Lepisosteus oculatus: one gene and its partner. The protein of the gene in region 2 purifies or fractionates together with the protein of the main gene of each other region. This does not show direct contact. Links are inferred from orthologs where the notes say so. Each region holds a gene or a part of one and is shown on either strand. Other genes may lie near its edges. The genes, in order: katnbl1 and katna1.

What was found.
Region 1: the proteins of katna1 (region 2) and katnbl1 purify together in Homo sapiens (affinity purification with mass spectrometry; 3 studies listed by BioGRID and IntAct, counting the BioPlex papers as one, with this or other methods). This does not show direct contact. The link is inferred for Lepisosteus oculatus from reciprocal best matches to the Homo sapiens genes KATNA1 and KATNBL1.

Annotation. Positions count from the first base shown.
Region 1 is NC_090703.1:16,025,622-16,041,213, reverse strand, and holds the start of katnbl1 (KATNB1-like protein 1), read right to left. Parts: upstream 7,354-15,592; 5' UTR 7,151-7,353; intron 6,891-7,150; exon of another isoform or gene 6,429-6,890; intron 6,320-6,428; 5' UTR 6,265-6,319; intron 5,652-6,264; 5' UTR 5,638-5,651; coding exon 5,521-5,637; intron 5,166-5,520; coding exon 5,128-5,165; intron 5,010-5,127; coding exon 4,730-5,009; intron 4,081-4,729; coding exon 3,965-4,080; intron 2,996-3,964; coding exon 2,945-2,995; intron 2,857-2,944; coding exon 2,767-2,856; intron 1,055-2,766; coding exon 950-1,054; intron 451-949; coding exon 357-450; intron 1-356. Other genes in the region: acp7 (acid phosphatase type 7), read left to right, coding at 10,804-10,912, 12,445-12,645, 14,549-14,731.
Region 2 is NC_090697.1:4,944,062-4,958,940, reverse strand, and holds the start of katna1 (katanin p60 ATPase-containing subunit A1), read right to left. Parts: upstream 7,879-14,879; 5' UTR 7,735-7,878; coding exon 7,732-7,734; exon of another isoform or gene 7,700-7,731; intron 7,103-7,699; coding exon 6,929-7,102; intron 5,835-6,928; coding exon 5,698-5,834; intron 2,930-5,697; coding exon 2,740-2,929; intron 1,925-2,739; coding exon 1,806-1,924; intron 1,020-1,805; coding exon 914-1,019; intron 721-913; coding exon 562-720; intron 1-561. Other genes in the region: serine/threonine-protein kinase LATS1, read right to left, coding at 11,907-12,443, 12,754-12,860, 13,060-13,242. UniProt on the Homo sapiens protein: Catalytic subunit of a complex which severs microtubules in an ATP-dependent manner. Microtubule severing may promote rapid reorganization of cellular microtubule arrays and the release of microtubules from the centrosome following nucleation.

The DNA of each region.
Region 1 (15,592 bases), on a different chromosome or scaffold from region 2:
TGTTAAAGCCACAATTAACTAATCCTTAAAAGTCATGTAATAAAGCAATGTGGACATTAATACAAAAGATTTCTTGAGTGTTTTGATACATACAGCAGTTCAGTAGTGTTTAATCACAATCCAAAATTTATTATTTTCACAAATACATCCACAAGTACACTGCTTCCAGAGGCTAAATACAAATTAACACACTAGAATGTTTAACATCTCTACTGCAATCTGGAACTCAATGAGGCATCCTTATAAAAATAGCCAAAGAGCAGTTTTCAACAGAATGGGTAAAACTGTAACAATAATATCTAGTGAGTAATAGAATATTTATAATTTTATAAGATGTTTTTTATGTCTGCATATACCTTTGCTATGTCACCTGTATTTCCTGGAACACAACATAAATGTTTTCCCTCCTCCCACAGTTCACGTAACTGCTGCTTCATAATTCCAATATTCCTAAGGGAGAAACAATGTTATTTAAACTGTGGATAAGACTTTACAAAACCTTTCAACATTCCTTTTTATTACTGTGTTAGAGACACCGTCTAAAGAGTGGCAGTTTTTACTTTGGAAGACTACACTCATGTACAGATTTTTTAAGTGTTTAAGAGTTCTTTGAATATGTTATACACCACACTCATCAGTACAACTCTTTAGAATCTTTACATTTTTGTTCAACCCAGTTCATGGAATTACCAAATGTCTTGGCTCATGGCTACAAACTCCATGATGTAACAAAACTAATGTACAATGCCTAAAAAGCTTGTAACCTTTTTCTTACATTGTCTAAACTGTGCTTTTTCTTATTTTCAGTTTTCCCCTTATTGAAAACCTACAATTAAACTAAACAGAAACCAAGAACAGGTTGAATTAGAATTAAGTGGAGGGTGATATAAAATGTGTGAAACAGAAGTCGGGATTTTAAAACCTCAAGAAAAATACAGCACAACCTTACCTATCCTCAGAATGGCTATCCCGAGCATTTCTGCCATTTGCAGATAGTTCTGGCCACCATTTTTTAATAACAGACTGAACCCAGAGTAAACCAACTATCAGGTATCTGAAATACATAATGCAAGATGTTTATTCAGTTGAAATAAAATTCACTATTACATCTTGATCTTAATTCAGTGTTTATAAATGCACAGCTTGACAGGTTTTCCAAAGGAAGCACGTCAGTGCAGAAATCTAGAAATTGTTGCTCTGACAACAGCTACAGACACTAAATGATATTTGGCAGAACAGTTCTTCCAATTAACTGTGTCTGAAGGACAATACAATTTTTAAAGAATCATGCTCTTGATTTGACTAACAGACCTATCACTTTAAAACTAAACAGCCTAAGGGTCAGTAATCTCCTGTTTACCAAAACTGAAACAATGCCAAATTTAAAAATGTTTATTTGAGTTTCACTGATGTGAGTGCCTGTTTAACACTCCTACCAGAATTCAACATGCTGTTTTCAATCTGGCTCAATTAGGACGTCACCCCTTAAGGCGAGTTTGAATCAATTTGATAGAAGACATTTATAACTTAATTGTGATCTTATGTAACTAAAAACAAAGAACACATTACAGAAAATCTTTGTGTAGGGAACAAAGAAATGACTCACTAGACTCAATACATATTAGTATTAAACAGGACCTGCTCCATTAAAAAGGACAGTGAAAACCTATTACATAAATTACATAGTTACATGTGTTCAATAAGTGATACAAATAAGCTAAAGCATCATGGAGCAGCAGTACTGTATGTGCACACTAAGATGTTGCACTGATACTGGTTTTGCTCATTAACAGAGCTTGATCTTCACTGATTCATGGTAACCTTAAAATGCCAGGTCCATCTCTGTCAATGTGTACCTTTCAAGATGGTATTTGATTTATATTTAAATAAATCTAACACAATGCTCCACCTACATAAAGTACATGGCAGGTTTTCTGGGTCCTTAAGTAATTTGAGGATTGTGTTTCTGGCACTAGTAGTCATTAAAACAACATTTAAATAACAAACACTGTTGAAAGACCAACCGTTGGTCAAACCTTGATACATCTACGGTATTTGCAAATTTCTGTCAAAACCTACAATATTGTTTAATTAGATTTATAGTATTTTATTTCTTTCACAAAATTATATCACTGTAATTGTAGCTTTGAAGACAAACTTTGAAAAGCTTTTAACTGTGAAAAACAAGATAGTAAACTGAACAGCAAACGTAAGCATTGATCCACAGTGTGTAGCAGATAACTAATATCACTCAAGACAAGATAAATATTTTAAATTCAATAGTAAACCACATTTATGCCTTAAGTCATTCACAAACCTAAGTGTTTCCTAGGCATGGGTATTGTCCTGATTGCTTTAACATGAAATATACTGAAGATAAAATAGGATGCATGTTAAGCCTGAGCAGTGGTAATTTCTATTTATAAAGCTTGTATAACTACAGCAATATAATTAACTTACTCGCACATAAAACAACAGTATTTGCACTAGGCACATGAACTAATAATTTTCTAGTGCCAGAAAAGACTGATGCAATGTAGAGTTTCAAGTCTAATACTACCATTGTGTTCTTGTACAAGGCACTTTATTCTACTTACTCCAAGCAATATGCACCTGGGTTCTTGAACCCATGAATGTTCTACAATCCTGACTCCTGCTCCACACTAGTCCCTATGTGGAACCTTAAATCATCACTGGAACTTGGCTCTACGAGAATGAAAAGTGTGTACAACTGAGTAGACAGTGCACGTACTACAGGATACTTACTCTTCATATTTACTTTTAAGTACATTTTTTACTAGTGGTAGGAGGTCCACACAACAGCCAAGTGATATACTTGATTTCTCATCTTGAAGGCTAAGATAGGAAAAAAGAAACATTCGGTTAAAGTAAAGAAATTGACTTTAGAAAATCTGATGTTAATTTATTATATTTAAAAACTCACCTTTTTGTAATTACAGGTAAGCAATCAACAAGTACACCCGTATCTTGAATTCTAAAGGACAAAAGAAATTAAAAGATTTTCAAACAATATTTGGTACAGATTAAATTGGTTACTAGGTCAAATCACTCAATACCAATTAACTAGTTTAATTTTTTTTTTTTAATGCAAAACTCAAGAGAGACATACCTAGTTTGTGAAGACGGCTGGCTCATTTTAATTTTCTGTATACCTGATACTTTCTAAAAGAAAAGCTTTCTGTAAACTTTTCACAATATTAATGGAGTACAAAAAGGAGTATAACATGCAAAATTGCATAAATCTGTACATTAATTCACCTTTGACTTATTAAAGACATTACAAAAACTCAAAATACCAGGATTCTCCTGATTAAACTGTAGATAAGTCAATTTTTACTTCTGTTTAGTAATATAGTATATATTGTTACTGTTGATGCATTTGCATAGCCCATGTTGGTATCTGCAAAGTAGTATAGTGCATTTAAATATTAAGTTTAATAAATTACATTAATCATTAGCTTACTTATCTTAAGTTGTGCATGTTCCTAGATATATTTGTTCTTATCTTATAGCATTTGAAACCTGACATCCATGATAGTACTATTAGTTATGGAACAGGGCTCACTGATACTGAACCTGGTACAGAACGTGACATTATCACTTGAAACCTGGAGAGCACTTCCTACCAGTGAGATGCTGAAAAGACCTTAGAATCTTTACTTATACTGAATTTCTCTGCAGTCAGGGGAATCTCATTGGTTGTAGAACTGCACTTGTCACTGTTATACTGCACAGTATCTATTAATTCACTTTGTAATAAACAATTCTATTTATACTGAAGTTTCATTATTTCACAGATTTATACTAGACTGATCTTTCTACTTTAAAAAAATTAGTTGGCAAGCACTGTTGCAATAAGAACTACAATAACAAAATAAAGCATACAAAACATTTTTTATTAAGTAAACACTTCAGACTTTGGCAAATTTGGTGTTCATGTTACCTGATCAGATATGCAACTAATTCACTAGTATTTCTTCGCCACAGAGTGAGAGCTACGTTTAGCCTGAGATTTCTTCCAAAAAGCACTTGTGTCATTGTATCATGATCCTTTGATATCTGTTGGAAAAGAAAAATGTATGTCTCTGGTTTTGATTTTCAGATATATTGCTTGCATTTCTAACAAACAATTCACAAGGAAAATCATGCACTATTGTATTCAATACAAAAAACTGAATTACCTTTCAGGTCACAAACAACTACAGCAAATTTTGCAGAATTACTTTATAATGTGTAATGACAATTTATAAATCAATGTTGCAGAAGCTAGATAAAATCAACTGGCATCTTGGTAAAAAAAAGTGCTGCTCTGGAAACCAGAAATCAGAAACGATCTGGGGATTAAGGAAATGTCCTACGGTGGCAGGTTCAAAGAACATAACCTTTCAAACTATGTGTTAGTGCATTTGTAACTGAGAACTGGAGGCACGACTTTATCTAAAGAATGGTGGGAAGTAGGAAAAAGCTACCCATAGACAGTGAAAACAGATCACAAAATAAACTGCAAAAGCCTAAAAAATATTTTTTCTTATGCAACCTGATGTCTCTTCTGGAAGAAGAAAGCACAATGCTTAGTGCTGCAGTATTTCAAGCCTATGTGTTATTAAAAAAAAGATAATGAACATTTCATACATCAATGAGCATATACCACACTACTGAGCATCAAGAATAACTACAAAGAGCTGAAGAGGAGTGCAGTCAGTCTTACCTCTGCAAAATAATCACTGTATTTGGAACCTGCACCCTCCATCCTTGTGGATCCTGCAGAGTTCAGTGGGAACCCGCAATGATCATCATTGTACAGTCTCTCATGCAAGCTGCCTGCACAAGCCAGTTCATTTTCCTTATTTGCCATATCACAGCTCCGGCTTGCCGAGGGCTGTCTCCGCCGTCCGCCGGAGCTTACAAATACGAGCCGAGTCTTTCTCTTGCTGGATACCACCCTTTTGACTTTGGTGGAGTTCTGTCCAGTGCAACCAATTGAAGATCTGTTAAGGAAGGGGTCAGACAGCAGTTACACAACAGAAACTAATTATGGCTTTTAAAAGTTAAGATACTGGAAAACTGAAATTCTCTAACCACAAAGGTGCATGAAAATAAACTTACCTCTTCTTATTTATTTCTTCCAGTTTAAAAAAATCCACCTGAAAAATAGAAATAAAAATATTATTGGCCTTAACCTTGGATAGCAGTGGGGCAAAGTGGTTGTAAGGTTCTGTAATTAATATTCCTGGATTCATATCCCCGGTGAAACACTGCTGTTGTACCTTTAAGTCAACTGCATTAAGTAAAATATTTAGCTGCAAAAATAAATTAACAAACTGGCATAACCTCATAACTTCTATCTCTGCACTTTAAAAATTACTTATAAAACATACATTGTCTTCAAAAGTATAAGTAAAATATGTAAATACATTGTCTGACAGCCATTTCAAATATATGAGAATTACTCTAAATCCTTTTCTGAATTATTTCAGGTTCAATAAACCAACCTCTTACCTCCTTCATGTTCTTTTTACCAGAAGATAGCATTTTTTGTTTGAGAAGTTCATTGGGTAGAGCCTCCTCAAGATGCTGGAAATCCTTAACTTCAGCATCATGTTCTCCAGAGGCCATAATACTGTAACTTTCTTAAGGATAAAAACAAAACAGGGATGATTTTCATGCAACATTACCAATGCAACATTATTTTAAGGGTCATAATAACTAACGTTGTCACAAGATCATACACTTCGTCTTTGGAATTACAACCCCATACCTTTCCAAGAGTCCCGCTAGATATTCTACTTTTAATTTTAAATGTGTTTCAGGGCAGGTTGAACAAGAATCTCGTTTCTTCTACAGATTGTTAACAACACCACTTGTAGAATATGTAAAACTTCTACAAATGATCAAACTTTTTATGGGCATCTATTGACTGCAAAAAGAGCAGTGTCGTATGCATCGGCCGGTGTTAATAATAAAAACTGAAACCAACACGAACAAAGATGTTACCATACAAAGAACATGCAGCCAGAGAAAACCTGCTAAAATGTTCTTATAGCGGCATGATGGCCCGGACTTTTCCTCGTTTCAATACACACTTTCAGCCAGCTAAAGTTAAAAATCCTCAGTCACCAATCTGTTTAAATTAAGGCGTCTTCTGATACACTCTAAAACATTGCCCTGCGTATTTTGTACATATGTTTTGAGATCCGGTTTTCCAACTGAATTCACAACGGAGGCGTAAAGAACAGTACACACCTCAAAGCGCCGTCACCAGTGCTCATCCCTCATGGAGAACACCAACCCCTATCATCTATTAATAGAGTAACGACATTTCTTTGACAAATAAGACAAAAAAAAATCGCCTGTAGAAAAATAAACTTTTAAAACTGAAAAACGACCAGGGTGACAGCAGTCCGGGAAACGGGCGCCGACACAGACATGGTATGACAGTTCGCTTGGTCGGCGAACAACGGAAACTTTTACATTATCGTGCCATTTGATTTTTCTACGATTACATATAAAAAACAAACATAAAACTTTATTTGAACTTTATCGAAAAAAAAACCATTACGCGAAAACGACCGAAATTAAAAACTGCTCTGCCCATTTTACCCACAATCCAACTGACTAATATGCTTACTACTCATCTATTATTTCCACAACAATATGGCGCAGTTTTAAATACACAACTGGATTACTGGATCTTCTAAGCAGACTCTTTTACAGTATTAAGCGAGTTCAAAAGGTTGGAATGCAAGGATTAACGACAAATTATAAGTGACTTCTGGTGTCCGTCTGGCCCAAGGGGCCCCTTCAGACCTGACTATATCTTAACCGGTTCAAGTTCGTAGCTGAAATAAAATATACTTCAAACACTTCGGGTAAGACAATTTTATTTTTCATTCGTGCCACAGCACATGCAAGCGAAACATTTGTTTAGAAACTCTTAAGAGTACATGGAAAGCTGATAGTGGGGCCTACGTACAATGTACCGAGTAATGCTGAAGCAGGAGCGGCATGCCTAAACTATGCGTTTTAGCTACAGAATTACAATTACTTCTTTTGAAAACGATAATTGCAAAACAATTCACAAACTCATTTTTTTAGCGATTCTCTGCTGCCCAGGAAAAAAGTCACCTACCGTTACATTTTGAAAAGGTTTATGGGGGATTCTCGCAAGTGAATGTCCTCGGACGGTGGTATTCCTTTCCTGTATTTCTTATCTAAAATTTAATATGTAAGTGTCTATTAAAGTAAAAATATAAGGAACTAAAACACACATTCACAGTCCCCCAGCTGAGCCTGCGCCATTCAAACAGAGGAACACGGCATGTTGGGATTGATGTGACTAGGCAGTCACATGGGCTACTGCGCCCCCTAGTGGCACGACGAGTCCAGGAGTAAAATAGGTGGGATCCCGTGACACCATATTAGAGCAGCTGCCGGGGGCTATTTCTGCAGCTTGAGTGCAAACTGCGTCGATAGTTGTTTGAAAGTGGGGAGAAATCAGACTTGTCCTATTTGGAGACATTGACGACATCAGCAAACGCAGCAGAATAAAATGTGGACATGAAATGGCACTTATATGCACTACAAAGCAATGACAGTGAAACAATAACGGGCATTTTTTTGTCATTGAATCGTATTTTAGGTATCCGACTCATTGTGTTTTAATCAGTGTGGATGAGAGTTACTTTTTAAAAAGTTACTTCTTTAAAGGTTTGTGTTTTTAAATGCGAAGTTTGGTGAAATTGATTATCTACAAAATGTATATTACTTTGAAGGTGGAGATAGCGCAGTAGGTACTGTAGGTCTCTGCATTTAATGGTAGGTTGTGGGTTGAAGTCCCCATAACACACACTGCTGTGTAACCTGGAATCAGCATTTTCATCAGGTAATCCCAGCGATACCTTGGCGTCCTATCCGTGGAGTGTTGGGCTGTACTGCCCGACATTAAAGGCAAAAAACGGGATGGTCTCTGACCTAATGAGCCCCCATGGCTTGAATGTGTTACCTTAAAGTCTAACTACAGTATGTGCACTGACTGCATGGATCACTCTAACGCTATAAAAATATTTTCTTCCCAATAACATAGTGTATACCGCATACACAACTAACTGAAAATTGATAATGTATCAAGAGAATATTTCCCCAGCACTTGTAATAATATTCAGTTTTGATTTATTAAATACTTATTATGCTATAATAATGCTATAATTTGAATATTAATAACCTTCCAAAGTTCCCACTTGTTGGGTTTTCAACTTCTACACACTAATATTGTTTTGTATATGTAGAAGTTCCCAAGCCACACACCAGGCTTTTATATATAGATTTCTCATCAGCCTTTAACGCCATTCAACAACACTTATTAGTGGAGAAATTACTATCACATTTTAATGTAGACTTTAATATTGTAGGTTGGATCTTAGACTTTTTGACCAACAGATCACAAAGATTGAGGGTAAATGGTTTTATATCAGAGCAGCTTTGTTCTCCTAATGGGTCTCCTCAGGGCTGTGTGCTGTCCCCCATCCTATACATTCTGTATACAGATAGTTGTAGAAGCCCTTTGAAGGACAGACATATCATTCCGTTTGCTGTTGTAAGAACTCCTTTCTTAATGTGTCAAAAACCAAAGACATGATTATTGATTATAGAAAGTAACCACCAGCTGCAAAACCAACAATCATCGAGGAGCTAGAGATTGAAATTGTCAACAGTGTCAAGATACTAATCACTTTGCACAAGAATACTGTATGTAAGAAGAGTCAACAGCAATTGTTCTTTCTAGAAAAACTCCACTCTTTTAATGTGGGTACCACAACAATGACTGTATTCCATAGAACCGTCCTTGAATCTGTCCTAACATTCACTGCAGTAGCCTGTTTTGGTAACTTTAACACCCACAATAAAAACTGACTGAGCAGGATTGTGATGGTAGCCAACTACAGCTTTCAGACAAATAGTGTGGAATGCCAATGTTATCATTAACTGTCATGACCACCCCTTGCACAGTAAAACTGACCTCCTTCCATCTATAGTAGATTGCCTAGATTCAAGAGCAATAGACGTTAGTCAACTTTTCCCAGTGTTTAACCTCCTTAGTTTGGACAACTGACTATATTTTACTTTATATATTTATTTTCTTTCTCATCATACATGTATGTTTCATATTTGTTAAAATTAATTGCTGTGGAAATGTATTATGTCTTTTACCTGCCTTCAAAGCAAATTTCCCATCTGAGACAATAAATTAAAGTATGTATCAACAAAAGGTCACAAATGTGTATGATTCTGTATATAGAAACACAAGGTCTAGAGATTCTGCAGCAGAGACAAAAAAGGAAGCTACTAAGAAAGCTTCACAAGTTAAATTCTTATGCATTATTATTGAAACGTGTCTGAAATTTAATAGATAACATTCACAAGGCGATTTAAATGAATAAGCTACTCTGAGATATCTTAGAACTATTGCAATGACCAGTGTTGACAAAATATTCATACATAATTATAATTTGTTCCCTCAATGTGTCGAGCAAATAATTCTGTATCTTTACCAATATGTTTTCATATCTAAACTTAATAAAAAACTAGCAGCACCCGTATTGCAATATTTACAGGAAAGACCAGCTGTCGAGTTTCAATTGCAATATTAGTCCTTCATACTCTGTTGCATATTTTAAAACTGCTGTTTTAAAAATGTAATGGATTATGCAGTGTATTTTGCCTTTAAAGGGAATTCTGTTTATTTCTGGCCTAGGTTATAAGAAATGTACAGTAGATGTTTTGTTAACTATGGTCTTGTTTCACTTGGCTCCTTGTTTAATATTTAATAAACTTTCAAGTCTAAAAAAATGAGCAGCACTTCCTGAATGACACAATGACATTGTATGTTTACAACTACAGTATCATAAGTGTAAATAAAAATATATCCAAAACATTTCACGGCTTTGAGGAATTAAATTCTGGGAGCGTTGTGGTTTCTTGTTTATGTTGCATTTTGCTGACAGATTGTTGCTTCTTAACCTTTGCATGTGACAGGAAGTTGAATACAGATGTTAACTGTGTGAGAAAGCTGTTAAAAAGGAAACTGCCAATGTCCCAAGAAAAGACAATAAGGGTTATGGGACATCTGAAAGTGATGTGCTTAATAGTATCCAAATAACTTACCAGGTAAGAATACAGTTTTCAGTTGCTTTTGAAAGATTTAAGATCCTTTAAGAAGTAAACAACTTTCAAATATTATATATCTTCTGTTTACACAGAACAATTATTTGAGAACATAAGACAAAAGAAAATGTTCACTTGGTTAAATGCTGTGAGATGAAAACAGTAAACATCTTAATGAATTAAAAAAAATAGTTGCTGTGTATTAAGCTCTTTTAAAGCAACAGAACAGAAACTGTTATCATAAACAAGATCACATGACAAGATCACATGAGTTTCTCTTGTAGTTTCGTGTACTAGATTTGTGTTGTGTTCAAGCTACTTGTTACAGATAACTACCATTTTCATTCTACCTATGAAAACAGTGTTTTGACTTTCAGATGTGCGTTTTCTTCAGGCTATGTTTCACACATTAGAATGTAACCTTTGATTTAGGTCAGGATTGTTAAACAATTTTCCTTTCAACAAATAATAATAATAATAATAATAATAATAATAATAAAACTTTATTTTATGTAGTTCCTTTAAAGGTAGCTTATCAAAGTGCTTTACGGAATAAATAATAAATTATACTTTTTTCTGAATAACCAGATAAGGGTGTGTGATTCTCGACATTAGTAAGAGATGGACTTGGTTTGGAGACTCTGTATTTTCTCCTGCTTTGGAGTCCACCTTGTACTTGGAGTCCCTCCAATTGGTACACAACCAGAACAGGTGCACATATCTTACCCAGGTAACGTTCTTTATTAGTTTACTTGTTTCCATCAAATGTATCTTCTAAATAATGAAAAAAACACAGTGACAATCTTTCAGTTTGAAAAAAATATCAGTCATTATGATGAAAGTATGTAAAAATAAGAAAATATCAGACTGAGAAAAGCATCTAGCTGAATCAGGAGTCATGGGCGCAATAAAATTGTGTGGGAATTGCTGAGTATAAGGTTTTTTAGTGTGACAGAAGGTAAATTATTTGTTTTTAACAGAACAGCCAGAAGTAAGTCACTTAGAAGAAAACCACAGCTAACAGGTTTCATAGGATGAAAAATTGGATGAAGATACTAGACTTAAAAAGTAAGGAAAGTCTTTAACATAAGACAAAAGAAAATGTTGTTGAACATTTAGGTACATTTAAGTATAGAAAGCACATATTCCGTTATTAATCTTCTACTTGCAGATCCCTGAATGTCACGTTTATTAAACGCTAAAAATGAACTAACTGCATCATTCAAAATATAAGGAATTTTTCCCATATTTATGCTAAGATGAGAATGAAGGTATGTGGTTTAGTTGGGTGCTTTTGGACACTCTGTACGTCATTACTAAGTAATCCTTAACATAGACGAAAAGAACAGATTAAAAGCACTGAAGAAAATTCAGGAGAGCTGCAGGGCAGAGCCATTAGACCTAGACAATTAATGACATTACAAACTTAACTGGCCTGAAAGCAAAAAAGGTCTTTTTTAGGACTTTTTAAGGTCAGGTGGAATGAGTCCTCATTCTGTTAAGGATTTGGCGGTGAGCTTTACTTATGTGGGATGGTCAGAACATTTTGTTATGAAATTCCTGTTTCATTGGTTTTTTTTTATTATTTGCAGATTTTGAGGGTAGCTTTAATATTTAAATTATTAAGGGTTAAAGTATTGGAAGAACGAAAAAATCTGCGCAGAAGCATCAATATTGAATATCAGTATTGAAAATTTTCCATGGGTGATCTGGAGTATGAACTTTGCAAAACACACAGGAAACTTGGCAACTCAATGGCAAGTTCCAATACCATGTCCAATTCCTGCCAATGTGACTAAGAAAGGACAGACTCACAAAGCCATGGCAAAAACTGAATGTAGTTAAAAAAATATTGGTTCATTCAGTTGGTTCATTCCTGATTGGGTTTAGGCAATGAGACTGGCCAAAGAGGAGAACACATAGACTATTACGTCTGTCATTAAAGCCTTTTATTTGTATAGTCATGGACACAGAATGCCTATATTTATATATTCTGATGTAAACACTGTACTATTTCATTTAATTTCCTCTTATTCAGCCAAAACCTGTTTACTAGATCAAGAAGTTCCTTCAGCAAACCATTTAAAAACGTAAAAAAAAGAATAAATAGAAAAGAGTAGAATATTAGAAAAGAGAAGATCGGCTCCACAGTCTAAATGTTGTGCTTCTTTTCTTCTGTTTTGAGCATGGAATAAACCTTTACTTGTTCCTATTCTTTTTGCCTTGATCCCAGGAGTTAGCTTTAGCTGGTTCTCTTTTCAGGAGTCCCACAGTCTATGGTCATCACCTGGACCACTTTCGATAAAGCAGAATCCTGGGTGGAGTATGGAGTCTGGGGAGGAAAGCTCTTTGAGCTGACTGCCAAAGGCAGCTACACTCTTTTTGAAGATGGTGGCAAGGAGAAGAGAAAACTACACATTCATCGGGTGACACTTACAGACCTCAAGCCAGGCTCCACCTATGGTACTGTATGTTTACAAAATTGCCTAGAAATGGATTGGGGTGCTGTCTGGCAAACTGTGTAATATGGGGAGAGAGTTAATCGTTGTATTCTCAGCACTGAGAGACTGCCAGGCAGAGGGAAGAATGGTTTTCAAGTAACAGGCATCCACTAAAAAGAACATTGCATGAGCTGTGGCTGGTTCACCACAAACAGATCACTTTTACTTGAAACCCTTTCGAATCGCATTTACATAACTACACGTGCATGGAAAGAAATGTGCCTCAAGGCTCTGGTTTTCAAAATATTTAGACACGTGTACCCTTCCCCATGTCCTGCTTGTTTATTGTTTAATATGATGGGTGTCATCTTTCAACTGTATTATTTTTATATGGTTCAGCAGAATTATTCTTCCTTTTCTGTACTTTCTGGCCCCAGCCGTTTAATATGGTGAGACATTTAAGCACATTTAGCTTTACTCAGACCTTTCTGTTTGCTTTTATTTGAATCAGGAAAAAGGAAGAGTGGGAAAATATAATTCAGCTGCAGCTCTGTAGATCCACACACTGTCTAAATAGTGATTTTCATGGTATACAGTACATACTATAAACCAGGGGTAATCAGTCTTTGTCCTGAAAGGTTTGCATGGCAGCTTTATAGCAGCAGCACCTGAAGAGCTGGGAGAAGCTGTTAAATTGCTCCAGTAAAGCTTGTAACCTGCTGGCTTGGCTAACTTGGAGAAAATGAAAATCTGTAGACATACTGGTCCCACAGGACTAGAATTGGAAAGCCCTGCTTTTAAACGGATTTTGAGTTACTCTGGAGTGTAACACACCTGGACACTAAATACACTATACAGTAGCTAGACCTTACAAACAGCAAGAAACACCAAGAAGAGTGTAAAAGATGGCATTTGCCTTTGTGTCCATATTTCAGTTAATATCTAAACCCAGTGCATCTAAAGACCATTCACCAGTAATAATATTATATCACATTTCCTTTGTGTTTGGATGATTTTATCAGACTATTCCGGAGGTGTACACTAGATGGCAGTTTTATAGTATGTAATCAAATGTATTTTGTGTGTTTCATAGCTATTATTCCCCATGGCTACTTACTAACCTACAATTTACAGTTTGCAAAAACATTACCCTCTGTATTTTTAATTGAATGTTTAGATAGATATATACAGTATATATATGCATTGTGAAAAAGGACAACATGGTGGTGTGGCTGCTCGTAGTGTTCTAGTTTCTTCCCACCTCCCAGAGATTAGTTTGTTAGGTTAATTGTGTCTCTAAGTGCCTTTAATTGGTGCCTGTGTGTTTACTTGTGCCCTGTGATGAGCTGGTGTCCTGTCCAGGGTGCAGCCCCAGCCAGATACTATGTGCTTTACCCCTTATACTACTAGAATAAGAACTGGGTTGTCATAACCCTTGCCAGGAAAGAGCAGCTAAATGCTAATGGGTGTGTATGTTTGACAACAGCCCAAAATGATTTTGGACTTGTTGGTTCTCACAATCTGTCTTGTTGAGATTTCTAATTATTCAAAAGTTTAAAAAAAGGAAAAACCTATCAGCCTTATTGAATGAAAACAATAACAAGCCAGAGTCTTCATTTGGATGTCAATTATTTGAGCCCTTGCATATACTGTATCTCGGGGCAACAGTGTGGAACTGTAGTTAGGGCTCTGGTTGGGGGTTCAAATCCCATGAGAGGCCATGCGTACCTTGCTGAGAAAGGTACTTTACTTAGATTGCTTCAGTAAATGCCCACTGCATAAATGAGTACAAATCGAAGTCACTTTGAATAAAAGTGTCAATCTTGAGACATCACTCAAAACACCATGCAAGGGAAGAATGTAAAGAATCCAGGGCTAAAGCATCATTTATTCGTGACTAACCAGAAGTAATTGTCTTTTTGCAGTTTATCACTGTGGTAGCAGTGACGGCTGGAGTGAGATGTTCTACTTCACTGCAATGAAAAGTGGCACCGAATGGAGCCCTAAGTTTGCACTATTTGGTGACCTGGGCAATGAGAACCCCCAGTCTTTAGCCAGGCTTCAGAAGGAAACTCAGATGGGAATGTATGATATCATCCTTCATATTGGTAAGGGTCATTTCAATAACTAGCTGTAAGTGTTATGGTACACTGTGCTTAGGTCATTAAGATCTGTAGAATGTTTATATATATTGGTGTTATGTCAACATAACTTGCGTAGCCAAAAAACTAAAAATAATAATTGAAATTGGAATTTCATCTATATATCTGAGAGGCATTAAAACACAAGAAATCAGTACTGGAGCCAATAGCATTGTTGCATTTTAAGGCCTCTCAGCATCATATAAGCCTTCTTGAAAGAGGTGATTAGCGAACATTTTAACACTGCATTTCCTATGCTCATTTAATACCACTATAAAAATGAATTATATCATTGATTTAAAAAATCACATGGTTTTCGTCTGGGTGCTCCGGTTTCCTCACATGCTGGTAGGTTAATTAGATTCAAGGAGATTAGGCCTGGTGTGAGTGTGTGCGTTACTGTGTTTGTGCCTGTGTGTGCCCTGCAATGGACCGACGTCCCATCATGGATTAAAACATTAATGGATAAATATTTTTTACATATTGTGGGCCACATATTTATACATATGTTGGCATTACCTAAGTGCCTAAAACCTAAATCACCCTTACTGTGAAAAAGTAATGTTTTTGAAGCAAAATATACCCGATACACTATGGTTAAAAGATAAACATTTTTGGGGAGCAGTGTAAAATAGTGGACAGGACTCTGGACTAAGAAATACAGTGTTCAGGTCCCAGGTGGGGAATTTCAGTTGTTTCCTTAAGCAAGGCACTTCACTCAGGCTGCTTTTGTATAATTCCTAACTTTATAAATACTTAGAGACAAGTTACTTTATATAAAGCATCAGCCAAACAAATCAATAATAATATTGAATTATATTATTATAT
Region 2 (14,879 bases):
ACCGGGCGGGTTCTCAGCATAGGATTCTGCTCGCTTTTTTAAGGGATTTAGGCGAGGACAATTACTTCTCAAAAAATACTTCCCTCCACGACGCAGTAAACCGCTAATCCGCTTATACCAGACGAAGACAAAAACTAAAAACAAAAATCTGAGCATTTCCGCAGCGACAGCTACAGTACAATGCAACATCCATACGTTTTCTAACTGCATCTTCCAAGTCAGGGTTGTAGGGGAGCCGGTGTCTATCCCAGCAAGCAACCTGCACGAGACGGGGTATATCTTGGACGGGACGCCAGCCCATCACGGGGCAGACAAACGCAGACATAGACACACTCACATCAGGCCCGTCTTCCCAGAAGCCTTTTGGACTGTTTAGACAGGGGGAGGAAACCGGAGCACCCGGAGGAAACCCACAGGAACACGGGGAGAACATGCAAACTCCACACAGACAGCACCCCAGGAACTGAACCCAGGGCCCCAGCGCTGCTCACCACTGCACTGCCATGCCGCTCTTAAATTGCGACAGACACTCTAGTTCAGCCAAAAACATGGGAGGTTTACCATCTCAAACAGGAGTCGTACTAATTTCTCAGATTCTCCTCTGTACTTGGAGGTGAGTGTTGATGAAGACACGTTGAAGAAGGTGGTTCTGCATTCCGTAGCCACGGCTTTGGCCAACAGCGTCTTTCCTGTGCCGGGGGGGCCCACCATCAGCACTCCCTGCACGGGAACAGACGGTTAGCAAACAGAGCGATCTCAATCCAGCTGGTGAACACGGGCGCGCTCCACACGCTACTGCAAAACACACAAAACCTTCTGGCACATCCAGGAAAAGGCCGAACACCTGCATGCAAAGCAAGGTTTACTGAAACGGCCACACCCTGGGAAAACTTCATAAATATTCCATAAGTACCTTCCAGGGCCTACGAATTCCCTTGAAGAACTCCGGCATCCACATAGGCAGTACGACAGCTTCCTTCAACAGTTTTTTGGCTTCTTCCAAGTCTGCAATGTCATCCCTGGAGATGGAAGATAAGATAATTACATGTGGGTTTTAAAAGGATACTACCCAACACCCAAGTATTTACTGGAAGACTCATCGCAGTCTTGTACATTCTGTACCTAACAAATTCAGGGTTTCACATAAGGAATTTGTGTCAAAATGCGCATCAGAAAAAGGTTACATGCTCTGTCAGTTCAAAGTTATACCGCACTGTCTCCGTCTTTCCACTGTTATTTGTTGCAAAACAAGTACGGCGTTGGCACATCCTGCGAGTTTCATCTCAAAATATCCAGCCATCATGACTGCCAAGTGCTGATCAACATCACCTGCTAGTGCAGCAGGTAAGTTGAGGAAGATGTATCTTACACAGGAAGCCAGGTGTTGTGAAAAGCATGAAAAGGTAAATGTGTAACAGGCATAGTATGTGACTTCCATTTTATTTATGTGCAATAATCTTTTCTTTTTTTGTTCTATTTTGATTTTATGTCTATTTGAAATGAACATTACTCGTTAAAACATATTACTGCTATTCACTACAATGCATATATGTGTTATACATTTACCTTAACTTTCTATGATTTATGTACATATTATCAGGTCACCAATGTCCAATTGCCCTTTGAGTTCATGAAAAATTTAATTTTTGTTTAGTGTTCAAAACACCATTGTTTCTGTAAAATCAGGAGGTAAGGTGCTTGTAATATAAAAACAGGAAAATGAATTGTGCCAAAATGAACTCCACAGAATTTCCTTGTTAAGCCACTAATGATACACTATGTCACAAAAAGAACTTTTTACTCACCATTTCACATTTGGGTTTTGAGAGATTATATCTCTTTCGAGGGCCTCTACAAGGTCTTTATCATATCCAGTTCCATCAAACTTCTTGACTTCAGTCTCTGAAACATCAGCAGATTTATTCTGTAATGCAAAAACCAACAATTACTGTACTTACTCCAGGGAATTAAGGGAGATCTGATCATTCTGAGAATCACAAACCAGAATAACAAGTCTAGTGTTATGGTTGTATGCTTATGACCATGCAAACGTTAGCAAATGGGATTAATTTGGTCTTATTTTGTCATGTTAGAATAACCCTAATCAACCAATTGTTTCAGATTTAATCTGTTTTTTTTACATCACACTCATGTACAGTATGCTTCACAAGAAGCAGATTTCAAACACAAAACTTGACCAATGATATACAGAACATATGAAGTTGAAAGAATGACATTCAGGGAGAACGTTCTTTTACAGTGGACATCTCAGAAAATTAAAACAGACACCTCTGATGGACATAGGAAGTTCACTACAATGCTTTGCTACTTCAAAATAAAAGGCTTATGGCACAGTGATGATTAGGATAAAACTGAAGTGTAGATAATTGAGAGTAAAAGTGCTATTAAATGGAATACATTTTGGGATGATATTTAAAAACCACTAAAGTGATTTTTTTTTCTTTTAGAACAAGTGTGCACTTTTCTACATTCAAAAACAGTTTTACAGAAAAGGCACGAAAATAAAGGCATGCATTAAACTGCACTTGCATACAAAATTCCACAATTGTTCTTACTTTATAAACATCTTTATAAACATGGCCACACCCCTGCAGAATTGAGATTTTGAATGAATGTTATTATTTTAAATCTGCTAGCTGGGATGCATTTTGGAAGCGTTTAAGAGTGCACAGAAAAGGGCAAACGGGCTGCCGTTAATAGCAGGGAAACATGCAGCACCTTGTCCTCCTTTGATCTGCCTGGCGCCTCTCTCTTGTCTTTGCTCCGGACCGGCTTGGCTCGGTCGCCGTTGGCTCCGCGGGCTACCTGCCGATGCTGAGCCCTGCCAGCCCCACTCAGCCGATTGTTGTGGTGGATTTTACCGTCCTTGTATGGAACAGGCTGCCGGCGGGCAGGGCAAGGCGATGACCTTCGGGGGACAGGAGGAGGAGACGTCAAACAGCACTCACAGGTTACAGAACCCTTAGCAAGCCGGCAAGTCTGTCCCGCACTGAACTCGAGGCACAAATATGCTTTTAAACAGGGTTTCCTAAAAATGCATGGGATTGGGAAGATTAAGACCTTTGTTCAATTCATTCAGCCAGCAGAAATATCACCCTGCAACTCACAATTGGCAGCCCCACTAGAGCCCAGCAGGTGTGAGGATGGTCAGTACCTGGATGGGAGACCTCCTGGGAAAGACTAAGGCTGCTGCAGGAAGAGGTGGTAATGGGGCCAGCAGGGGGTGCTCATCCTGAGGTCTGTGTGGGTCCTAATGCCTCAGTATAGTGACGGGGACACTATACTGTAAACACGCGCCGTCCTTCGGATGAGACGTAAAACCGAGGTCCTGACTCTCTGTGGTCATTAAAAATCCCAGGGTGTTTCTCGAAAAGAGTAGGGGTGTAACCCTGGCGTCCTGGCCAAATTTCCCCCTGGCGTGTACCAATCATGGCCTCCTAATATTCCCCATCTCTGAACTGGCTTTATCACTCTGCTCTCCTCCCCACTGAGAGCTGGTGTGTGGGCCCATCATCCAGGTGGGGCTGCACACTGGTGGAGGTGGAGGGGATCCCTATTACCTGTAAAGCGCTTTGAGTGGAGTGTCCAGAAAAGCACTATATAAGTTTAAGCAATTATTATTATTATACTAATAAGAGAACCCTCATTATTCTATACATCAGGATGGTTTAGAAACCGCAACTACGAACCACACGAATGGAAACTGATCTGAAGAGTGTTTTGTCTCTAGCTCATTCCCTGCTCTGCACTGTTTACTTAACTCCACCTTCCTTTGAGCCTCCATCTATTTTTTTTTAAATGGCAGCACAGATGTGTTCAAATTCAGGTTTAGCGTGGATATAATTCAATATTAGCAGGAATAATAAGAACATTTCTCAAGACTAGACTGATGCCTGGCAAACTACATTTAATTAGACATATACACTGCACTACATGCAGGTACCAAGAACATGTGGTACTGAGCCTGTAAGGTATTTAGAGTTCAGGTCGTCTCACTGTCTCCATCAAGAGAAGGGAAAAGGCACGACAGCTGCCAGTCTGATGGACACGTATCTAAACCAACACTTGCACCTACTGTCGTGGCTGGATATGTGACTGACGCAGCTCCGGGAGAAGTACCATGCTGAAGGCAATGACAGCGGGGTCTCACCTGGGATTAGAATCTACAGCCTTTCAGTGTGAAGTACAGAGCCCTGACCTCTGCTCCACTCTGCAACCCCTGAGTTATTCATCTATCCAAACATTAAACTCTATACAGAAAGGTTTGCCACTTGAGAAAAAAAAAAAGTTAAAATCATTGCAATGTATGATTGGGAAAACAGTGTTCAATTCCGGTCACCATGTAGAGGCTGGGAATACTGAAAAACCTTAAGAAGACTTTATAATTCACAGAGTAACTATGGTTTAGATTAGCTTCAAAAAAGCTAGGAGCCTTTTCTAAAAAATTTCCATACAGCAGCAGTTTTTAGCGACAGATAAGGATGAATTTATCTAACTGCTCATGTGGAACAAAGGAACACTGTACTCGTTCTTCCTCGAGTGCTGAAGTCTTCAGTGCAGTTTAAAAAAAGCTCTTTTCTATGATCACCTTCTGTTGTTCTGTTTGGAACGAGTGCCATGTGGAATGAGGACTTGACAGCAGCTCGTCTAAAAAATAAGATGATAATCCAGTGCAGAGTAGGTGCACCCCAAACACACAACTCCAGACAGGAGCTCACAGTGCAGTTAAGTGTAAGAGAAATGACCATTTTCAAAAACAGTTACACTTAGGCACACTCCTTGTTTAATCCTGCAAATTAAATCCCGACACAGATATGCTTCTTTATATTTGTTTTCATCTAAAACTCGACAACCAACTTATAAATCAAAGTCTTTTAGATCTTGGCTGCAGGAATACTGCACAACGCTTTACAAAAAAGCAGGCAGAGCAGTCTTCCATGACTGCTTGTGGGGGGAAAAAAAAAGACCTTTTCAGAACATGTCAAAACAATATATACTTTTAAGGCCATAATTACTTTAGACCTTTTAAGGTCCAAAGATCTGAAGGAAAAAGCAGTAAATCAGGACAGCTCCACACTATGAGTCTACCACTGCGCTAAGCCAGGTCATATGAATTAATCCAGGAGAATTTCCTTCAGACAACTGCCTTATTGTTCTCCTCATCTTTAACCACACAGTGAGGAGCTGACCATACAGCAGCTATGTTCAAAGCCCAATTTAGTTGGCGTTTATTCCAATAGCGTGAAAGTAAATTTCAGAATAATACTACCTCTATACCTATAGGTGCTGCACATCAAAAGAAACTTGCCCCTGCAGCAGATGATTAAAGTTAAGATCAGGGGATCCCTTTTGCAAGAGGTGTGCCAACAACTTTATTGAATTGAAAAGACTTTGCTAGAGTGACTCTGATGCCATCGAGGCCCGAGAGCAAAATCCAGGGCTTAAAGCAGCAAGCCGATCAATTACAGTAGTGGCACCAGCACGAGGGACTGAGGAATTGTTGGAACACAAAAACAGCAGACACAGGGCACTCCGGGATCAAGAGCCACCGATTAGATCAACCACGTCACCCTGAAATACACACTAAACCTGCACTCAAATACAAGATCTGAAACCCCAAGTCTTGCATGAGAAGTCAAGGGACGTCAAAAATGTCTTCCACTTCGGGGCACATACCTGCGCTCAACCTGAACAGGCCAGATGTCTCCGTCTTGACTTGGGGGTTTAGAGGGCGTGTTTTCCAACTGGAAGCTTTCCAGAGTGCTCACTATCTCCCGGACATGTTTATTTTCATCATTTATGTCCTGCCACACCTGTTAAGAGAGACACTCGGGACTTAACGGCATGTACTGCTTCTACAAGCTCCACTATTATACATTTTATCATTATCTTATTTCTTAGAACACAGCCATTGCCTAACGTTCTAGTCTATTTCAGACCAAAGTTACCATAAAACCGCTTCATGTACTAGTTTTAAGCATTGCACTGCTCTTACAAAACACACTCATAACACAAGGAAACTTTATTTCACTGCTTATTAATTGTATCCAAAGGTTAAAAGTTAACTGTAACAATTCATTCGCACTTTTAATAATGCAGTACTGCTGAAAGTTGTGAAACTACAGGCGCCTCAAAGAACCACCTATTCAATTACAGTACTGTAACCTTATGAGCAAATAGCCCTTCACTGCCAACATTTCTTAGGATTGCTTCCATACAGTGGACACCTGAACAGCGCCTGTCTTGCACTCCCCCATGTGAATTTAGGCAAATCTGCTTTGGACTCCAATAATCCCGAAACCAGCCCTTGATGCCTGCGATAAGCAATGGTTTTGAGTAAAGGTGACCAGACGTCCCTCTTTCCGAGACCTTAAATATCGGTCCGACCGGAATTGATAAAACTGTCCGGGATTTTGTTTTGCTCGTTACTCAGACTGTGTAAACAGACAATCGGCATACAGGTTTTCCTTCCTTCCATGTATTACCGGTAGATGTTTTGTACTTACAAAAACCATTTGATGGCCATGAGAAATAGTTGAACGTGTTTCATTATATTTCAAAATGTTTTGTTAAACTTGATCATTTTTGCAACCAATGAGGACGATGTATTCATTTTTTCCTTAGATGTTAAGACATTCGTTGGTTTTAAACAAGGCTGAATGTTTATTTTTCCTTGTTTGCCATTATGTAAGAGAAAGAGCACACCTGCAACTGTTTTTTTTAAAACTTACCAGGAAGTTTAATAAAAACTAGATGGAGCTTAAATTGATTTTGTAATCAGAAAGAACCATAAAGATTCATTACTTTGGAGGCATGTGTCGAGTGTAGATTATCCCCGCCCTCTTTTTAAAAACCGAAACATGGTCACCCTATTTTAAATAAACCTGAAACCTGAAACAGTGGTTACCTGTTGCCATTTGTGCTGCAAAGCGGCATCCTTGACTGCAAAAAGGTACTTCTTGATCTGCTCCAGCACGCCTTGGTAGCAGACCAGCGCGGAGCTGTAGTTCCCCAGCAGGGCGTACTCCCGGGCGAGCTTCACGTTCTCGCTGATTTCAAGCAGACTCATGCTGAACATCACCTACACGTGTGTGGGGGGGAGAGAGACCACACGCAGCGTCATCACCACCCGCCCCGTGTGCCAGACACTTGACTTGACTTGAACTTTATTGCCATATGTAACCCGGCCTCCGGAGCCGCTCGGTACCACCGCCCGGGCCAGGCGGACCCGGGCCGGGATCGGTCCCGGTTCCATCTCCACCTCGCCTCCAGACACGTGGGGAGGGACAGGCTGCAGCCCGTCACTAAAACTTCTGTTAAAAATGATCTTACGCCTCGACGACCATCCCTCAGACGGCTCTCAGCGACGGCGTCGAGCAGTGACAGAGATCATTAATAAAAAAAAACAAGCCGGAGGCTCGCTTATTGTTCGTCGCGACGATAAAACGAGGCCGGTACTAACACCCACAACCTAAACACGCACCCCGAGAGTGTGTTAACCTCCCGGACCAGTCTTAAAACAACTTCAGTGCTAACTCTTGCGGCTGGCGTGCCTAATAAAAATCAGCAGAGGACGACAAAGAAAGCGTCCTCACTGCCCCCCGACCCGCACCCGGCTCCTCTCCATGTTGTTGTTGCAGTTGCTGTTGTTGTTGTGAGGAAGCCCTAAAACACCCACCTGTTGCGGGAAGCAAGGAGAAGCGCAAGTACCATTAAAGCTGAACTGCAGACACTGTCGTCCCTGAAAACGACGGCGCCTCTCTCCCTGCAAGCTCAAGCCTGTCCGCCCATCCTGCGCCGCCGCAGCGCCTCGGGAGAGTTTGAAGTCAAACAGCAGGCGTCATTTCCTGGTGCGGCCGGACCTGCCGAGGGGTGTGTCCGGGACATTCAGCCATTTGAAAAGGAGAAAACTTTTTTTTTGGGGGGGGGGGGTGCGTTTGTCAGCTACATTTCACCTACGTTGCGGTGCACTCGGCGGCAGGAGGGCCTCATATCCAGCCACCCCGGGGGGTGTTTTTCCACCTGCAGTACTAGACGTTTGGGAGACTGTGCGCCGATGGCAGGGGCTGATGCTTTTTAAATAGTGCGGCTATGTTTAATGCGAATGTTAAATTAATTTTTATTTCGCGTTTGTAAAATGGTTTCTGTTTTTCCCATACACAGTAAAAAAACAAACAAACTATATCCAACCCAACATATTATGGGTGTACTCACTATACATAAACATAATACAGACATGAAGAAGGCTCCACGGCCGAAACGTTGTGTTTTCTTTCTTCTTTTTTTCAGCATGGAATAAACCTATTACTTGTTCCTTTGCAGCCTACGCATGCTGACGCAGCTACCTATAATACAGACATGTACTACATCAAACTCCCTATTATTTATTTTCATAGGACATTCTGTCCAGAAAACACCTTATTTCGGTGGTTAAGCATAGTGCTGGGGTCCTGGCTTTAATCCCCAGAGTGCTATCTGTGTGGAGTTTGCGTGTTTTCCCTGGCTTCTCATTAGTTTCCTCTGGGTGCTCCAATGTGCTCCCAGAGGACAAAGACATGCTGGTAAGTTTACTGGGTTCTGGAACGTGGTTCCTGGTGTGTGTGAGTGTCCCCCTGTCTGTCTGTATGTCTCTGGACCTGCAGTGGACTGGTGTCCCATCCAGGGTGTATCCTGCCTTGCGCCCAGTGCTTGCCAGGTTAGGCTCTGGCTCCCCGTGACCATGTACTGGATAAAGCATTTTAGAAGATGAGTGGTTGGATAGAATTTTCCTTCTTCTGGTTTCTGTGGTGCAGAAACCGCAGTGCATTCTGGCTCTGGCACAACACCGACCGATGGAGTCACATTGTAATTCTGACAATCCCTGGTCTGCTTTAAAAAAATACAAACTGGACCCAATCTTCATGACCATTCTATAAAACAAAATGAGAAATGAATGTACAGGCATTCAAATCACAATGTTGGGGGTTTTCTTTAATAAATTACAGAATTGACACAAAACTAAATTCTAAAGATAAGTTTCCTACAACCTGCTTTGTTCACGCCACATGATTTATTGTAACAATGACTGCAGTCGTTTTAAAATAGACTAGGGAGTGTATCCCAAGTTAAGTATCTAAATAAATTAAATGATCTAAATAAATTTTGGACACAGCCAAAAACCACTGAAAACAGAATAACAATGCCTTAAAATCCCATTAGGCACATATTTAAGTGTGTGTGGTGTAAATTATTCTTCCATCTCAGAAATATCGCCAGACTACTTCCTATGTTGTCTCTAACTGTAGCTGAAAAACTGGTCAACACATTTGTCTTTTTCAGAATTGATTAATGCAACACCCTACTTGCTGGGGTATCTGAATCCACACTAAACAAACTTCAGTATCTCAAGAATCCAGCAGCCAGAATCCTGACCAGGTCACATGCAAGTGATCACATTACTCCTGTCCTGGAGTCCTTGTACTGGTTTTCCTATCAGGTTTCATGTCAACTTCAAAATTCTCATGCTCACCTACTGTATAGGGCTGTACATGGCCTGGCCTACAGTAACTGACTTACTATCTTCCTACTCCCCCTACTCTTCCTACGCCCTGAGTGCATGGTTTCAGCTGTGTTCTGGTGGTTCTGTAATGTTGTGGGGTGCTTTTTACTGGCATGGTTTAGTTGTCCTCATTCCTTTACAAAGCCATTTTAGGTCTATTCACTATTAAATCATAGTAGTAACAACTCCTTACACTTATATATCACTTTTCTGGACACATCTCTCAAAGCGCTTCACAGGTAATGGGGTCTCCCGTCCACCACCACCAGTGTGCAGCCCCCATGGTGATGTGACGGCAGCCATAGTGCACCAGTCCGCTCACCACACACCAGCTCTCAGTGGGGAGGAGAGCAGAGTGATGAAGCCAGATCAGAGATGGGCATTATTAGGAGGCCATGACGGGTAAAGGCCAGGGGGAAATTTGGCCAGGACGCCAGCGTACTTCATGGTACTGAGTGATCATCTGCTCCCCATATTGCAGCATTTCCTTCCCTCCGGGAGGGGTGTATTTCAGGATGACAGTGCCCCCATCCACGATGGTGTCCCTAGGTCAAAGGCCGTCTCCATCACTTAATACGAACCTAATCAAACACTCGTTTGCCACTTTCATCAAACACCGTAAGGCGACCAGCTTTCTCAAGGAAGAATGGTGCCACACTTCTCCTATAGTATTCCAGATGCTGGCAGACATGTCACTGGTCCAAAGTCACATGAAGTGACGTTACAATGATTTAATTTTTCTTCACATTTTTTGTTCAGCATCTTGTTTCATGATGATTTGCTACTTGTTCTGCAATATTCATTAATTAGCATTATTCTCAATAAGTATCAATTTACATTTAGATACTGCTGTCATGGATCCTTTTGTAACATTTCAATTTCCTGTGCAAAAAGCAGTGATGTGGAAACAATTTTTTTTTAAAACAATTGGTTTTATTTTTTTATTTAACCCCCCTTCCCCCCCCCATCAGAGAAATTACAGATATTACTAAAGAAATGATTGTGAAATCATGGTAACGTGATCACTGTAAAAAAAAAAAAGAAATGTCATTGCTTATGCTCCAGAATTATTTTCAGACCTATGAAAACTTAAAAAAAACTCACAAAAAGAAAAGGATGATAATGCAAAGAGATATGGTGGGCCCGTTTTAATGTGCAAAGGCTCTCCATGCCTTTCTTCAAATCCTAAAGAACGCTACCTGCATGCTTTGCAAATTGCCAACCAGTGAGAGGAGAGTCTGTATTTTATCCTTGTACTTTGGTTGCGTTTAAGACCATTTTCTATGTACATAAAAGTACAGCCCCTTGTATTAAGGACTTTGTTTTTAAAATAAAAACACACCCTGTCCTGACTCCTCACCGAGCTCAGGGTATCAGCCCGACAAGTGGTCCGTTTCTCTTTTCAAGAAGCAGAAAACCTTGAGAGACCACGTGTGCATGATCAAAAAGCTTACAAAGTCAAGAGGGCCTGCCCTAAGATAGCTCATCAAAGGTACTAACAGGATAGGTAAGAAAAGTATTTACACCAAATTTATACAGCATAATTTATAAATACATTTTATGTATAAATTAGGAAGAAAAATACACAAAATTACTAGTATAATCCACTAAATATTAACCAGCTAATGTGTTCCCATTAAAATGCTAAGCCGATTAATTTTTGACTATATTTGGTAAAAGAAAACAAATTTCGAAAGGCACTGCAATTTACACAGTTTCAAGGGTCTCGCTTCCTCCACCTCTGTTCCATACAGAAATTCAGTTCACCTTTACAACTGGACATGAGACTTTTCAAAATATAAATTAAAACAATATCAATAAAATAATCAGCTCCTAAAGGAAAAAAAACAACAACAAACAAGTTATGGTGTTTATCTTGAAAGGTACTATCATCACCAGTTTACAATATTTAAATAAATTAAGGCTGAAAGGGGGTTATTTCTTTAAAATAGTTTCAGATACAGAGTACAGGAAGAGATTTTAACTTTGCCTTTCCACTACTTGTTTTTGAAGTTTTTTTGTTCAGGCAGCACATTCAAGGAACACACTGTACACCCCAAAATAAATACACCTAACGTACAGTCTGCACGGGACTTTCAACGTCCTCCCCGGAGCTTCTCTGCTGATGCTTGTGTTCGTTTTCCCGAAATGTCCGTTCCGTCTCCCAGCCAAATCCTGGCTCCCTGCTGTGAAGGCAAAGGTCAAGCGCGAACCCACCGCCGATCGAGGGCTGAACGCCCCCTCCTTTATCATACAAACACCCAAGCTTTACCGTCTTGTTCGTACCCCAGCAGCGGCCCGGACGACACTGGCAACGAGCGGGTCAGCGTCCGCGCGGGCCCCCAGGCTACACGTACACCAGATCACGCCCCTGCCCCCCCGCGTCCCGCCGCTGGGGCTCCGAGTCCAGGCCGTCGCGGCTGTACTCCTCGGGCCCGATGGGCCTGGGATAGCTGTAGGGGTGCCCGTTGTCATCGAAGAACCGGCGGAAGGTGAACTCGTAGAAGGCGTGCTCGGGGTGCTTGCCGTTCTTGTACCAGCCGTTGAGGGTGTCGTCGTTCCTTCCCTCCGCGTCGTCGTCGTCGCCCCCGCCGCGGCCGGCGCCGCCGCCGCTGCTCCAGAGCTTGTCGGGGTCCACGGGGTCGAAATTGGAGGTGTCGGTGCAGTGCGCGATCTTGGGGACGTACGGCGCCGGCCGCTGCTGCTGCCGCAGGTCCGTGGAGAAGTCGATGGTCCTGAAAAAGGGCTGCGCCTTGATCTCGTCGGCCCCGTTCTTCCCCAGCCGGTCCTCGGGGCCCCTGCACAGCTTGATGATGAGGTCCGAGGCTTCCGGGCTCAGCTTGGCCTGCGGGGGGACGTGGAGGGCCGTCTGCCAGCTGATCACCTGAGGAGAGAGAGCGGAGAACAGCCGCCACCCGTGCGTTAATTCGTGCTCCGAGCCGTTACGGGAATCCCATTGGAGACTGACTGAGAATCGGCAAAGCTACGTAGAAAGTAATGGGACTTCCAAACTAGCCCATGTTTTTCAGACTCGGGGGCCTGGTGTGTGTAACTTTCCTACGAGAGATATTTAAGGGAGGTCACTTGGGTTCAGCCTCAGAAGGCAGTACCCATATTCCATGCATCAACACACAGGTCTTTTTGCTCGTTGTCTTTTGTAAAGGTCGCGGCGGTCGCAGCGTGCCTTCCGTTACCTTAAGCTGCGTCTCCAGCGGTGTTGTCGCCAGGAAGGGTGGCTGTCCGACCAACATCTCGTACAGAATGACGCCGACGCTCCACCAGTCACAGAGCTGGGTGTAACCTAAAAAGCAGCCGCATCTCAGAAGAAGAACAAAATAGCACTTCCGCCCACTTCTCGTCTTACGGAGTGTGACGGACAACAGCTCAAAACCAGCGAGGCCAGCCTTTTGGGACGGTGGCATTGCGGGCTCCGGAGCTCGCACAATCCTCGCGCAGACGAGAGCGGCGCGCGGCGTGGAGCGAGCGAGCGCGGCGGTTACCTGTCCGCAGGAGCACCTCGGGGGCGATGTAGTTGGGCGTGCCTACGAGGGAGTGGGCCAGGCAGCGCTGGTGCTGCCGGGCGGCCCGCCGCTCCAGGGGCTTCAGCCGGTCCCCGCAGCGACAGCCTGCAGGGTCCTCCCACTCCCTGCTGAAGTCCATGCTGTCCTGCCGGGCGTGGTCGCCTGCGGAGAGCGCAGGGCACAGGTGAGAGCACGCTCACCCACAGCTCGCCCAACGTATTCAAACCGAACGCGGCATCGGCAGGACATGACTGGATTATAAAAACTACGCTCTTTGGTTATAAAGAGCGTAGTTTTTAACACACTTTTCCTCCTTTCAAGAAAAACATCCTTTGAAGTGGGGCCAAATCCCAGTACAGTATAACGCCACAAAATACACTAAATTGTGCTGGGGAACAGTTTGTCCAGGATTAGGACCTTCTTAATACAGACGTGTAAAGTACATGAACAACGAACCCTCTTCATCACTTTAATTTCCCAAAGGAGAACAACACCTTACTTTATGATCTCCCCTCATGAAAAAACACAATTAAAAGGAGATCAGCAAGTTTGATCTTAATCTTAATTAGATCATAACTTACAATTCTACCCAGCAACTAGAAATTAAGGAACAGAACAATACATCATTCGTTTTTAAAGATGCTGTAATCTACTTTAATCCTACATTGTATCACTGGTGTCAAATTAATTGATGTGTCTTTCAAGCAGGCCATACGCATCATAAATTGTCAAAATACTAGCCACAAACATTATATAGTATCATTTGTCATGTTCTGATTTTTTGGGATTTATTTTACCACGGTATATATCTCCCTTTAATATGCAATTCACAATTATTCCATCTTCCCTAGAAGTCATTAGTATTCAATACACTCTTGAGTATAGAATGTTTCCGGAACTTATTGTAATTAAAAAAAAAAATATCATGTGATTAATGTGATTTATGATTACTGAAATTTCACATTACCAGCCATTTCTGAGAAACAAATTATCTTCTCAAAATTAGGGATGGGTAAATATACATATACCATTGGTAATCTGCAGGACTGAAATGCAAGCTTATACAACCTTTGGGATAAGTGATAAGCACGACCTTTAGACTCTGCTTGAGGCTGATCACTGTGATGAGACTAACGGTGACTGTGATAAGTGAGAAACACCTCATCTTGTTTCATATTTAGCAGAATTTTTTAACTGGGCCACAAAGCTGCCAAAAGGCAACGTTTAAGGGATGTCACATGATGAAAAATAAAAAATGGGGAAGATATCAATAGACATAAAATCTTGCTAGGTACTTGCTAGATATCAATGACAAAAACAGCAGAAAAAAAAAATCAATTATATTCCTACAGCCCCCGAATCCAGCACATCAGCTTTCCATTTACTTCTATGAAGGCGTACACATTTCTCCACTTCTACCGAGCCACACAATTCGATATTTTCTTCGACAGTTATAAAACCCTTATTGAACTGTGCCATTTGAGATAAACACTATGGGCGCTGTCAGGGAAACCGATGGTGCTTCAGTCGCTAAGCTTGGTCCAGGACGTGGAGGAAAGGGGACATGGTGGTGTGACAGAGCAGGACAGAACAGTGCTCTGAGATGGGACAGAGGCAGGGAACCACAGGCAGCACCTGTGGGTGACACTGCTACATTCATATCGGCTCTGACCCCCAGCTTCTCTTCCTTCATGGAGAGCAAGCTGGGGAATCTGGAAGGACAAATTCCCAATTCAAGAAATTGTATATGGCCCACAAAGTGATCTGATCTATCTTATCAGGCTCGCGTACACAGCCTG